2 linked regions of the Cricetulus griseus genome follow. Each later gene encodes a partner of the first gene's protein in a complex. Links are inferred from orthologs where the notes say so. Each region holds a gene or a part of one and is shown in the gene's direction. Other genes may lie near its edges.

Evidence for each region.
Region 2: mitochondrial import inner membrane translocase subunit Tim23 (region 1) and Timm17b share a complex: the UniProt entries of both Homo sapiens proteins name them as parts of the TIM23 complex. The link is inferred for Cricetulus griseus from reciprocal best matches to the Homo sapiens genes TIMM23 and TIMM17B.

What each region holds. Positions count from the first base shown.
Region 1 is NW_023276807.1:187,225,227-187,233,597, forward strand, and holds the start of mitochondrial import inner membrane translocase subunit Tim23, read left to right. Parts: upstream 1-3,306; 5' UTR 3,307-3,457; coding exon 3,458-3,563; intron 3,564-5,864; coding exon 5,865-5,923; intron 5,924-8,371. Other genes in the region: Parg (poly(ADP-ribose) glycohydrolase), read right to left, coding at 2,747-2,966. UniProt on the Homo sapiens protein: Essential component of the TIM23 complex, a complex that mediates the translocation of transit peptide-containing proteins across the mitochondrial inner membrane.
Region 2 is NC_048604.1:114,362,659-114,368,937, forward strand, and holds the start of Timm17b (mitochondrial import inner membrane translocase subunit Tim17-B), read left to right. Parts: upstream 1-1,439; 5' UTR 1,440-1,476; coding exon 1,477-1,502; intron 1,503-2,626; coding exon 2,627-2,707; intron 2,708-3,083; coding exon 3,084-3,183; intron 3,184-6,279. Other genes in the region: Pqbp1 (polyglutamine-binding protein 1), read right to left, coding at 624-690. UniProt on the Homo sapiens protein: Essential component of the TIM23 complex, a complex that mediates the translocation of transit peptide-containing proteins across the mitochondrial inner membrane.

The sequences.
Region 1 (8,371 bases):
AAATTTAAAATCCATCCCTTCTTTAAACCCTTAAGTACTTCACTTATTGCGCAACTGGTCTGTATTTCCTCAAACTAGTCTGTTTAGTCTGGACTTTCTTTAATCCAAAGTTTTATAAACTAAAAGTGGCAAACATTAAAAAAAATAGACAATATAGAAACGTATTGAGCTGGGTGCCTTTAATCCTAGCACTTGGGAGGCAGAGGCAGAGGCAGGTGGGTCTCTGTGAGTTCAAGGCCAGCCTGGTCTATATAGTGAGTTCCAAGACAGCGAGGGCTATACAGACAGAAAAAAAAAAAAAAAAAAAAAAAAAGAAGAAAGAAAAAAAGAGAGAAAAAAAAAGAAGGAAAATGGAAGACTATTTCACATAGTAAGAATGTTATTTCATGAAATATTTCAATCACAAACATGGCATATGCATCAACTTGAGTTTTAAACACAGCATTCCTGCCCTCTACCCTAAACTCTGTAGCCCAGAGGCTGGGCTGCCCTTCCCCAAGAGGTTCTTCCCTTATAATGCAGACATTTTGGTTACCCTCCCCTTTTTGGACCTCTGGCATCCTGGCTGCTGCACCCGATTCCCCTCTCTCCCTTCTCTCTCCCCTCAGTCCAGCTCTGGTCATGTCCATTCTGGACTCTTCCAGATATCCCTGCCTCTGACTATGCTCTCCCACATACCTATAATAAACTTTGTCCACCACCATACCTAGGAGCCACTATGTCCTTTCCTTTCCATTTTATTTCTTTTTTTTTTCATTCATTACAGATATTGCTGTGTACCATGGCCTGAAGTTGAAAAAGTGGAAAAGCTACTGCTAACCCATCTTTCTAAAACATTAACCATATGCGTCCCCCCCCCCTTTTTTTTTTTTTAAAAAAAAAAAGCTTCCAGGAGGCCAATTAAATACAGAGTACAGATTAAATTCCTTAAAATGACACAAGTCTATCCACAGTAAAGTTCACCTAAGTCTTCTGCAGCCCCATGTCCTAGTTCTAGTAGAGTTTAGGGATGCCGTTCCTTCTACCTACGTTATTATACCCCCCTCTTATTTCAAGACGTGGGTCAAGCCAGAAGTAGGAATGTACCTGATTAAATATCTTCAAGTTTTGTATTTGGGAGCAGTGATAGGCAGATCTCTCTGAGCAGATCTCCCAGACCAACCAGGGCCCCACAATGAAATCTTGTCAAAAGAAATAAAGAAAGAAAGAAAGAAAAAGACTTGATTCAAACCTACTCCCTAGAGGTTCCAAGGCAGACAAGTGCAACTATTTGCCCTGATCTCTGCCCAGCCTCTTACACTGTGGACCAATGCATTCTTTCGGCAATGTTGTTGGCTCTGGGTGACCACAAGCTAGGCTTTTCTCCTCACTGAGTATTTCTCTCAGGCATCCCCTAAAATGCTGGTGTACCCAAAGGCTCTATCCTTGGTTGTTTTATGTTCTCAAAATATTTGCATGTTCTAACTACACTTATAGCTCCTATTATTATTATTATTATTATTATTATTTATTTTGGGTTTTTCAAGACAGTGTTTCTCTGTGTAGCTTTGGAGCCTACACTGTCTGGCACTTGCTCTAGAGACCAGGCTGGCCTGGAACTCACAGAGATCCGCCTGCCTCTGCCTCCCGAATGCTGGGATTAAAGGCGTGTGCCACCAACGCCCGGCTCCATTATTATTTTTATGCCAAGAACTCCTCAATTTTTCTAGCACAGATGTATTTCTTCTGAGGTACAAACAAACAAAACCAGCATTCTCTGCAGAATCCATCCACTTCTGTTCCCTACTGCCTGCAAAGTCTAAGTGCAAATCATCTCCCACCTAGACCAGCTCCTTTAGTCTTGGGGTTTCAACCAACTTTTCTTTTCCATTTTCTATACACTAACCAACCATACAGAGGATTCAAGAAACAAATTTAATCTACCACACACAAGCATTAAAAACCCCTTATTGGTCTCTAAGTACTCTGAAAACATAAAGTTCACAGTTCTTAGTAATAACCACAGTACTGTCTATACTTCAGTACAGTCGGATCACTTTTCCCTATTTCTCCGCAGCCCATCTCTCACTATGCCACCATTTATTCTACAAGCCAGCTATACTTTTGAAATACCACTTCACTCTTTCTTCGACAGTCTCTAGTATTCATAGTAAGTACCAAATCTTCTGGAGTACTAACTTTGATGTCATAACTAGGTTAAGTACACTTAACTCATACCAAAACAATCTCTCCCTCATGAACAAGAAAACCCATTACTCTTAGCTACACATATTGTACTTGTGCTATTGTCTACCTCTCCTCATAGATTTCAGGGTTTGAAGGCAGAAACCAAGCAACTCATGTTCAACATCGTGTGCCAGGGGGCAAGTAGGATGCCAGCAAGCTAAGACTAACAGCTCTGCACTCTGGGAGTCAGCACCTGACCGTGTAAACTGCAACAGCTTTCACTGCATCTTCTGGAGACTGAAGCGACCTTCTGCTTCATATACACATTTAGACTTCCTTAACAAGGCAAATTCTCTATCCAAGCTGAGGAAAGCATACAGGTGAGATCCACGCGGTTAGCAACTGTCCACCAAAGTTTTCCACACCACAAATGCCAGTAAAAGCTGTAGCCCCTGTCCCCTACGAGTGGCATCTAGTGATTTAACAAGGAGGGCATCAGAGTGGTGATCAGATAGACGTGATTGGAGTCTCATAGTCCTCAGACTCAAACAAGGACAAAGATTTTTATTTTCCCACGTACCAAACGAGGTGGCGCTGCCTCTGTGCGGTCCCGCCCGCCCCGGGACGCGGGCTGGCGAGGACGGTGGGACCCTGAACTGTACGGGAGCGTCCTTGGGGTCGAGAACGCGCCTCTGCCTGCCGGGGAAGCTCCGGGAGTCCGAGGCAGCCGGCGCAGAAGTTCCAGCGGCACTCCAGCGGGGCCGCTTGGTGCAGGGCTCACAGCCGGGGCCCGCACTCATGCTGGGACCCGCAGCGCACAGTCCCCGGGCCGGCCCGGGCAGAGAGCCTCATTCACTAACCCTGACAGGGACGGACTGCGCCTCCTTCTAGGCGCCCCCACCATTCCCACTCTGCGGCGGCCCGCTCCTGCGGCTGCTGCTCCTCGGGCCTCCGAGCCAGACCCTCCCTGCGCAGCCGCTTGCCTCCGCTCGCCGCAGGGAGCCCACCTGCCCCGGACGCGCCGCTTCCACTCGGGCTCGGGCTCAGGCTCCGGCTCCGGCTCACTTTCCCACCACCGGAAAGCAGTAGTCCCGCGCTTCGGACTTCCGGGCCGTACACAGCCGCAAAGCGGAAGTGTGGTGCTTAACGGGAGCCGGCGCCCGGAAGGTCAGCGTGTGAAGGTGGCAGTAGGAACGCGGGTCTTCCCGCTGTTGCTGTGGGGACCACGGCCGAACACACGATCCCGGCCTGAGGTGGTGGTGGGAAGCCCACCGCACTTTGCTGCGACGTCATGGAGGGTGGCGGGGGAAGTGGCAACAAAACCTCCGGCGGCTTAGCTGGCTTCTTCGGAGCAGGAGGAGCGGGCTACTCGCACTCTGATTTGGCCGGCGTTCCGCGTGAGTATCAGGCCTAGCTTGCTACCTCTCTCTGTCTGCTTCCTGGGACAGCTAGAAATGTGTAGCATTCCTTGTCCCCTTTCTTGCTCGCGTTCACAAGGTTCACCGTCAGTGATGGGGTTTCCAGACTGAACGGAATGTGTGTGTGTGTGTGTGTGTGTGTGTGTGTGTGTGTGTGTGTGTGTGTGATAAATCACCGAAACTCGTTAATTGACCTAGTTTCGGGAGGAAACACAAAATGCCTTTAGCACCCTCGTCCCTTCTTTTCTCTCGTTGCACGCATGCCAGTGTGCTTGACCCTGAATTGGGAGACTCTAGTCCTGGAAATAAACATACTCCATTAACAAGCCCATAGTTAATTTTTTTACACGGTCACTAAATATTTCTAAATTAAATGTCGGTTAGGCGAAAACCCCCTTTTTTGAGACAATTCAGGAAACCAGAAGGAGCTGGAAAGGTTATATGCAAGAAAGAAAGAAGCAAAACAGCCGGGCGTTGGTGGCACACGCCTTTAATCCCAGCACTTGGGAGGCAGAGGCAGGCGGATCTTTGTTAGTTCGAGGCCAGCCTGGTCTCCAGAGCGAGTGCCAGGATTGGCTCCAAAGCTACACAGAGAAACTCTGTCTCAAAAAACCAAAAAAAAAAAAAAAAAAAAAAAAAGAAAGAAAAGAAAAGAAAGAAGCAAAACAAATTTTAGAAGGGAAATAAGCAAATGCGAAAAATGCAGAGGCATGAATATCCGGCCTGTTGGCCCTCCTCAATCCCATAAACACGTATTTCAGGCTTTTAAGGTTTGGTAATTTTAGATACTCAGCCTGATATGTAGAATTTGGGCCTGAAGATAATGGGGAGTTGATGGTGAATGGCCCTTGTTAGAGTGGGTGTTTCTTCTTGTTCATCCTTGTAGCATTTTTCTAAATCCTTTATACTTAAGAATAATAATAAAAAGCCCTTTGATGACCCTAATGTCTACTGTCAAAACGGAGTCCAGAACAACGTTCGTGTGTGTCTCAAGTTTTTCTCTGCATGGAGACACAGTAATTATTGCTTTTATGATACATGCATACTGCTGAGGTGAGCCACTTAACATAAAACATTGCAGTTAGGGAGAGATGTCATGAAGGAAATAAAATAGGACCCTGAGAATGATGGTGGGAGGAGGAGGCTGAGAACAGATCAGGGGAAACAACTTGGGAGTTGACATTTGAGCTGTGACCTGAATTTAGCAACAAATGTTTGAGAGACAGAACAAACTTGACATGTTACTTGAACAGCTATTGGGTCTATGTGTCTTTAGAGTTGCAAGGGAGTGAAGTGTTAGAAGATTATAAAAACAGAGAGGCAGGGAACAGCAAATACAAGCTGTTATGAACAAGGGTAAGGGATTTGGATTTGATCTAAAGTGTAGATGGGAGCCTTTAGGGCTGATTTCATAGTTTCCACAGAGTGAGTGGAAGAAGTAAGAGAAGGTAGGTTAAGAAGCTGTTGGTATGAGATATGATGCTTGCACTAGGATGCTAGGTATAACAATGGAAAAACTGAAGCGACGGGACTTAGAATTGGCCGACAGAGTCATGGTGAATGCATACATTTGTGAACCATCAACTGAGATACAGAAGAACCCAAATACTAGATTTTTTTCCCTAAAGTTGGTAGATTTAAGTTTAACCCTCTGAAAGTTTGTATTTTCTTTTCCATTAAGCTTCATCCCTGTGGTAAAACCAAGGATTCTCCTTGCCATAGTACAGAGAAACTGTTAGCAAAATTCTTAGTGTGATCCGAAGGAACTGCCTTGATATACTTCATCTATAGTCAAAACCTCCCAGCCCAACCACTATTTTACTTGAGAGACTGATTACTCTTGCAATTTGCCTGATTTTCTTGCTAGTTAAAGAAACCACTTTTATACATGGTCTGGGAGAGTATGTGAGTATGAGCACTTTCTGCCAAACCTGGTGACCTGAGTTGGATTCCTAGAACCAGACTGGTTAATGGAAGGGACTCCTATGGGACCTCCACTCACACACTAGTGCATACAGAGACACATGAACTCATAAGTAAACCAGTAAATGTAAAAAAATAAAAAATAAACCAAAATAGTAATAACAGCCTAAGCTAATTTTCTGGAAGTCTCATGATTTGACCTATTAGTACCAAAATCCTATGAAAGTGTAGGGCATCAGTGCAAGACCTCAAAATTTCACATTCATTGACTTTCAAGACATGTAACAATCAGCTGAATCAATCCTATGGGAAATAGTTTAAGGAATTTTGTGATATGACATTTTGTTTTCTCTCTAGTAACTGGTATGAATCCCCTGTCTCCATATTTAAATGTGGATCCACGATATCTTGTTCAGGTAAGATGAAGCTTTTACTGGTTTGATCTGGTACATTAGTCTGACACAAAGTTCAAGTGCTTTGTGCTGACAATGGAGGAGGTATTCCTGAAGGGCTAATCTTCCGGTCTCAGTGCACTTTTCATGTCCACCAACTCAGTGCTCTTGGCTTTGTGCTTCTTCTTGAAACCAGTGGTGTTTTCTTCTAAGGTATTTGTTTTGTGTTTTAAATCTACAAAGTGTAGTGAAAAGAATCACAGTAAAGGTGATCTTTGTTTTTTGTTTGTGTGTTTGTTTTTTCTCTTTGATTTTTTTTGAGACCAGGAGTCTCTATGTAACACCAGTTGTCCTGAAACTCACTCTGTTGTCAAAGTTTGTTAGGGAGTCTTTCTGTCCTGCTAGCCAGCTCCCAAATAACCACATGGAGAAAGATTGGCTAATAACTTAGGCTTGTTTCTAACTAGCTCTTGTATTATCATCCTAAAATATCTTTTTAGACCTTAAAACATCTTTTAAATAAGTAGCTTTGGCTTTTATATTTTTCAACCTTATAAACTTATGTATCTCTCTCTTTTTTTAATTTAGTAACTAGGAAAATTATAAAACTGTGACCACCTAGTCTTCAATCTCCATCAGAGACCCAAGAAGGATAAAATATTACTTTAACAGGAATTGCAGAGAAAGCAACCTCTAAAACTAAGAGAAATGACAAAAACAGCTGGCTGCCTGGACAGTCACCTCAGGGTTCCTCTTTGACATTGGGGCATCCATCTTTAGTCTATGGGCCTAGAATATCTGACAGACTTTTCTGTGAAGCAGAAATTTTTGAAAGACTGTCCTACCCTGGCTTGGCAAAGTTGAGTGGTTACTTTTCTGTCTTTTTTTTTTTTTTTTTTTTTTGTTGTTGTTTTTGATTTTTTGGTTGCTGTTGTTATTTTTCAAGACAGGGTTTCTCTGTGTAGCTTTGGAGCCTGTCCAGGAACTCCAGACTGGCCTAGAACTCACACACATGTCTCTGCTTCTGGAGTGCTGGGACTAAGGTGACCCAGCTGGCAGTTGCTTTGTGTCTTGCTTGTCCAGTTTGGACATCATACTCTCAGTAGATGAAGCAAGGCAAACTCCATATGGAGGTTCTTCAATGCCTATCATCTTCTCAAGAAGTAGATTGGTGCTGCCAAGAGCAGCAGTGTCTCACTGTCATAAAAAGCCGTATTATTAAAACATTAAATGCCATATAGGCATATGTAGATCTCTGAAGTGTTTGAAGACTATTTAAAATATTTATCTGAGCCAGGATGTGGTGGCCCATGTCTTTAATCCCAGCAATTGGGAGGCAGAGGTAGGCAGATCTTTGTGAGTTCAAGACCAGCCTGGTCTACAAGAGCTAGTTCCAGGACAGCCTCCAAAGATACAGAGAAACCCTGTCTAGAATTACCCCCCCCCCAAAAAAAAAGAGTCTCTGATTGACCTTTAAAGTATTCCAAACATGACTATAAGTTTGATTATTATAAATGACTAACTACATACATGTATTTCTTTGTTATCCTAAATTGCTTTCAAGGACTAAAACTTTACATTGCATTTATAAATGAGCTGCATAGATACAATATTTTAAGGAATAGAAACATGTAATACAGCATAACAAAAATAACCTTAAATTTGTATCAATGTACAGAGAACCATATCAATGAACAATAAGCCTAGTAGTTGCTTTTTAGTTTAAAAGTAGATTCAATAATCTTCCCTTTTATCCTATCATTCCTATATCCCCCTTTTTTCTTTTCAGAATGAGAGCCCTGAATCTAATCTCCTCTGTTTAGTGGTTTGTTTTTTTTTCCATGACCAATAACAATTTGTAACCAACCCCCTTTATCAATGACAAACACCCATAACCCACCAAATGACTAAAAAACCACCCACCCCATCTCTTGGGAATGTGGGTGGTATGTTCTCTAGACTGCTTCCTATTGTCTGGGGGCACTGACATATTTGGGGGACCCTGAGAAAATTAGTATAATTCGAGGCTGGACCATCTCGGCCAGCATTTGGATATAGAACTCTGAGGAAACTGCATTAGAGGCACTTTGAGAGGCTGGATCACCTGGGTCATCCCTTTTCATTGGTATCTGGTCCCCTTGCTCTGAAAGAACATAAACATTCAAAGGTAACATACATATCTGCATTAACATAAGTATGGACTGTGTTGTACATAAGTCAGTTAAAGATTATTATTTTTGTTTGTTTTATGTTTGAGCAGGTAAAATATACTTCACATGTCTTGTAGTTTTCTTTATGTCTATAGCCAGGATTTTCAGGGGGTCTCCTCCGATCAAATCTGGTTTCTTTTTTTTTTTTTTTTTTTTTTGATTTTTTTCCAGACAGGGTTTCTCTGTGTAGCTTTGGATTTCACAGAGATCTGCCTGTCTCTGCCTCCTGAGTGCTGGGATTAAAGGCGTGTGCCACCAACGC
Region 2 (6,279 bases), on another chromosome or scaffold:
TCCTGGAACTCATGCTGTAAACCAGGCTGGCCTTGAACCGAAAGAGATCTGCCTGCCTCCACCTCTGGAGTGCTGGGATTAAAGGCGTCCACCACCAATGCCTGGCTAGCTTTATTTTATTTTATTTTGAAGACTGGGTTTTGGGCAAGTTGCCATGGCTGGCCTTGATCTCCTGGGCTCAAGTCATCTTCGTATATTGTCCTCCTAAGTAGGTGATCCTATTGGTACTTGTCACCGTGTCCACTTGATTCATGAGTTAAATTAAACTCTATTCACCAGCCTTACACATCACACAGTACTTACCAAGCAGTAGTAATGGGTATCAGTAAAGTGACATTGAGATGCCTTCCAGGCCATGCAAGGTATCAAGTATCAACAATAAAGCCTATCAAGGAGATATACCTCAATAGTACAGCACATCCAAGAGTTTGGATTTGAACCCAGCAACGCAAAGGGCGGGGGGAAGGGTGTGCGCTTTGGGGCTGAGGATGATGGTAGAGCGCCTGCTCGGCATGCACCTTGGGTTCGACAGGGCGAGGGGCAGAGGTGGGGGAGCTAGAGAACAGAATAACAGACATCTGTTAACACTGACACACGGTATTAGATGCTATTAGCTTTCTCACCGGGCTCCAGATGTTTGAGGATGCCCCTCTTCGCCAAGCGGGTCTGCAGTGCAACAGGGAGCGGCATTGCGGGTTGCTGACCAGACCTAGGAACCGACAGAAGGCAGTGAAGGGCAAATCCGATAAACATTTCAATCAGGATATCCAGTAACCATGCGTCACACTACAGCATGTGCTCATTTGACCCCCCACCTACCTAACTGCGCCAGCAGCTGGAAAGACAGCACAAAAAATGCGTGCTAAAAGATGAAAGAAGTACGTGGCAATACGGTGAGGACTAGTACCACCAGAACTCTACTGACCGGGGCACTGGGGACCGGATGCACCGAAGACCCAGTTCCTCTTCAGGCCAAGGCTCCACCCATCGCCAGAGGGACCAAGCGGAGCTCACCCGCAACCCAGAAATGGGATCACCCAACGTCCCTCTAAGTCAGCACTGTGGGAGGAACCAAGGCGCTGGGATGGGGGTGCAAAAATGCCAACACCATCTTCAGCTTTAAAAGAAAGCTTCCACCTCGGCGTTAGCAGTGCAGCTATGCGGATAATCAAAGTCTGTCACCCTGTCCTCCTCCCCCTCTTTGTCACTATGCTTACCAATATCGAAGGGCTCTTCTTTTAAAGCACAAAACGCTCCCCACTCTCCCCAGGTGTAGTTAACTGGTCGACTCCAGGGCTTGCAGTGAACGGATGTGGCCAGCCTGGCTAGCCAATAAGAGTGCGCCTTTGATCTTACGTAAGCAAAGAAAACCAATAGTTTCCTTGGCCTACGTAAGACGCCTCCGCTCTTGTGGGCGTTTCTGGGGGGGAGTGGCTCGTCTGTGCGACTGTCTGCTCCAGGCCAGACGCTGGCGCCATGGAGGAGTACGCTCGCGAACCTTGGTACGGCGATGGGCACAGGCTTCGGGACAGTCCCTGCGAAGCCCAGGCCAACGACGGGAGGCGGGCGGGGAAGGCAACGGCTACACTGTCAAGTCCCTGACTCGGGAGGCTTAGAAACTTTACTGCCTCGGCGCGTCCGGCCTGGCTCCTCCCACTCGGACTTCGCTAAAAACCGCCACAGTGGAGTGTCCCTGTTGGTGCGGTGTGGGACAAACCACCTCACTCTTCCCCTGACTGTTCTCCTAGAGACTTTTTGTGAGCCAAAAGAGAGACGCTGGGCAAATCCATTCCGGCAGAGGGGGAGGAGAGGCGTGGAGCCAAAACCCACAGTTTCCTCTCGTGGCCTTTCCCAGACTGGTTTTTGACTCCGGTTAGGGCATGTTCATGAATCCACTGTGGGTTAAGGGGTGGGGCCTGGAGCTTCCTCATGGCTTTTGATTTTTCCGTTTTAAATTTTAAAATGACACTGTACAGGGGCTTCCTTGGACGTGCTTCTCCCCCCCCCACCCCTTCGGGGAACAGAGTGCCACCCTGTTCTGCTTTACTTAAATAACATTAGGTAGTTACCACTGTTGAAACCTGCCAACTCTTTGTACATATCAATCCATTTGATTTTTGACAGCAACAAAACAGTTGGATTGATGCTCAGTTGTAATCGAGAGCAATATTCTTCCAGTAATAAGCCCAGCATTTGGAAGGCTATGTAGTGAGGCACCTCCCTCACTCTCAAAAAGAAAAAGAAAAAAAATGTTTTCCCACTTTTGCGCCATAGACAGATTTACAAACGTTTTTGGTTTTGTTTGTTTTGAGCCAAGATCTCACTGTGTAGCCCTGGCTGGCCTGGAACTCTGACTAGGCTGACCTTAAACACACAGATCAACCTGCCTCTGCATCCCAAGTGCTGGGATTAAAGGCATGTGCCACCACGCTCAGAGCAGAAAACCTTTTTCTCTTTTTGGTTTTGGTTTTTCAAGACTGGGTTTCTCTGTCTATCCCTGGCTGTCCTAGAACTCTCTTTGTAGACCAGGCTGGCCTGGAACTCAGATCTGCCTGCCTCTGCCATGCTAGTACTGGGACTAAAGGTGTGCACTACCACTGCCTGGCTGCACAAACTTTCTTTTTAGGACAGGGTCTCCATTCATAGCCCAGGTTGGACTCCAACTTGTGATCCTCCTGCCTCATCTTCCCAAGCATTGTGCTTACAGGTATGTAGAACCATGCCTGGCTTTCCTTTCTGGCTTTATGGGTCATATTAAAAACTGACAGAACTGCCTGGTGGTGGTGGTGGTGGTGGTGGTGGTGGTGCCAGCCTTTAATCCCAGCACTCAGGAGGTAGAGGCAGGCAGATCTCTATGAGTTTGAGGCCAACCTGGTCTACAGAGCAAGTGCCAGGATAGGCTTCAAAGCTACACAGAGAAACCCTGTCTCAAAAAAACAAACAAAAAAAGAACTGATTTGTTATTATCTGAGGTGTTTCTTATCAGTCATGACCTTCCTATTTTGGTTCTCCAAGTTCCAAAGAGTCCAGGCTTGGCAGGGCAGAGTCTCACAGTAACTCTATCTTTTCCTTCCTGCTTGCAGCCCATGGCGAATTGTGGATGATTGCGGTGGAGCCTTCACTATGGGTGTCATTGGTGGTGGAGTCTTCCAGGCTATCAAGGGCTTTCGTAATGCCCCCGTTGTGAGTTGGGCCTTCCTTGGTGGTGTGGGAGTCTGCAGTCTTACTGACATAGAATACTGTTCTGAAAACACATTCATTCACCTACTACTACACATTCACCTACTATTGGCTCCTGGCCCTATGATTTGCGTACCTCTGTTCTTCAACTATCTAGCTGGAGCTCCATGGAAATGCTGTACTGTCAGAAACAGTCTTAGGAGCTAGAAGCATATGTAGGTGGAGTTTTTGTAGGGACTCTGATCAGCTGTTTCGACAGCTGCTTCCCAATTAACCATTCAGACTTATTGTTAATTATAAATGCTTGGCCAATAATTCAGGTGTGAGCCAGGCGGTGGTGGTGCATGCCTTTAATCCCAGCACTCGGGAGGCAGAGGCAGGCAGATCTCTGTGAGTTCGAGGCCAGCCTGGTCTTCAGAGCGAGTGCCAGGATAGGCTCCAAAGCTACACAGAGAAACCCTGTCTCGAAAAACCAATAAAAGTAATAATAATAATAATTCAGGCGTGTTACTAACTAGCTCTTACAACTTAAATTAACCCATTTCTATTAATCTGTGGCTCATGGCTTTTACCTCTCCTGCATGTCCTGCTTCCTCTCCAACTGGCTGGTGACTCCTCTCACTCCACCCTCCTTCCCAGCATTCTTTCCGTCCTGAAAATCCTGCCCATCCATAGTCCAATCAGCTTTTTATTAACAATGAGAGTAATAACATTTATAGTATACAAAGATTGTTCGAAGCAAGTATATAACTCAGTGGTAGAGTAGTTGGTTCATTCCTTAGCAGCAGAATAAAAAGAAAAAGGCTAGTATAAAATCTTAAATGTGTATGCAACATAGATTTTACCTCAAAACAGGACACTTTTTTTGTTTTTTCAAGACAGGGTTTCTCTGTAGGTTTGGAGACTGTCCCAGAACTTTCTTTGAAGACCAGCCTGGCCTGGGACTCACAGAGATCTTCCTGCCTCTGCCTCCTGAGTGCTGGGACTTTAGGCATTCGCCACCACTGCCTGGCATGATTTTACCTCAAAACAGACTCTGGGTTAAAATCCTCTATATAGAAAAATGACAGTAGTTTGACAGAGAGAACAGCCTTTAAATTGAATTGGGGGGCCCTTTTAATATAATTCTACCTTGTCCCTGAAGCTCCCTACCCTTGGAGATCTCATTAGATGTCACTGTTGTAAAAGCAATTATGAGCTGAGTGATAGTGGTGCACACCTTTAATCCCAGCACTTGGGAGGCAGAGGCTGGTGTATCTCTGTGAGTTCCAGGCCAGCCTGGTCTTCAGAGAAAGTTCCAAGACAGTCTCCAAACCTATAGAGAAACCCTGTCTTGAAAAAACAAAAAAAGCAATTATGGGGAAGGGCTGGAGATAAGTCTCAGTGGCTAAGAGTACTTGGCTTTGTAAGCATGAGAACCTGAGTTTGATTCCCCAGCACCTATGTCAAAAGTCAGGCATGGCTGCCTGTGCCTATAACCCCAGCATTAGAAGGGGTGAGGCATAAGACAGGTGTATCCCATGAGCTTGCTGGCCTGTCAGCCTAGCTGGAAGTGGAGCTTGTGGTTCTGTTAAAGACCCTGTCTCAAGAAGAAAAGCAATAGAAGACCCTAACGTTCTTCTCTGACCTCCACATGTTCACACTCCTGCACATTCCTGTGTATATAAGACACACACACACACACACACACACACGCACGCACGCACGCACGCACGCACGCACGCACGCACGCACGCACACAAACACCTTTGAGGCCACCCTGGTCTACATAGTGAGTTCTCAGTATCCGGGACCTTGTCGAAAAACAAAAAAGGGAAGGGGTATGGATCAGAGAGTTCTCAAAAGAAAAAATAAAAATAGCTTAAGAAATACCTCAAAAAGCTTTTAACATCCTTAGCAAATTAGGCAATGCAAATTAAGACTAAGATTTCATTTACTCCAGTCAGAATGGCTGTCAACAAATGCTGGAGGGGATGAGGAGTAAGACATAACTTCCTGCTGGGTGGTGGTACAAGCCTTTAATCCCAGCACTCAGGAGGCAGAGGCAGGTGGACCTCTGTGAGTTCAAGGGCAGCCTGGTCTACAGAGTGAGTTCCAGGACAGCCAGGGCTGTTACACTGAGAAACCCTATCTCGAAATAACAAAAAAGAAAGAAAGAAAAAGGAGAGAGAGATTCCCTTATTCAGCGTTAGTGGGATTGGTGGAAATCAGAATCTTTGAATTCTCAAAGAGCTAAAAAGAAATCTGTCATGTGATCCAGCTATACCACTCCTTAGCAAATACAAAGGACTCAGTATCTTAGTCATGTGTATCTTACTCAAGTATTTGTGTACTCTTTTTTTTTTTTTTTGGTTTTTCGAGACAGGGTTTCTCTGTGTGGCCCTGGATGTCCTGGAACTCGCTCTGTAGACCACGCTGGCCTCGAACTCACAGAAATCAGTCTCCCTAGGGCTGGGATTAAAGGCATGTGCCACCAACAACCAATATAACTTGGTTATTTTTTATTTTTGCAAAGCCCCATACCTAAAGACTGCCTTGAATCTTGAAGACAACTGGGCTTAGACTATTGAGACTCTTAAAGATGGACAGGGTTCCTGTTCCTCTATGAAATAGGTGTGAGCCTTTTTGGAATATATTAGTTACTTTTCTGTTGTTAAAATAAAATCTTTGACCAAGGCAATTTATAGAAGAAAGAGTTTATTTGGGCTTAGAGCTCCAGAGAGATAAGAGTCCATTGTGATGGGGAGGCATGGCAACAAGGAGCATGGCTGCCAAAGCAAGAAGCTAAGAGCTCACATCCTCAATGGCAATCATGAAGCAGAGAGACTGAACTCAAAGTAGGCAAGGCTTTGATGCAGTGGTTCTCAACCTTCCTAATGCTGTGACCCTTTAATGCAGTTCTCATGTTGTGATGCCCCCCCAACCATAACATTATTTCATTGCTACTTCCTAACTGTAATTTTTGCTAGTTATGAATCGTACTGTAAATGTTTTCTGATGGTCTTAGGTGACCCCTGTGGATCCCAAAGGGGTGGCAAGCCACAGGTTGAGAGCCACTATTCTTTCATACATTTTGCTGTCTGAAGCTGTCTTGCTTAC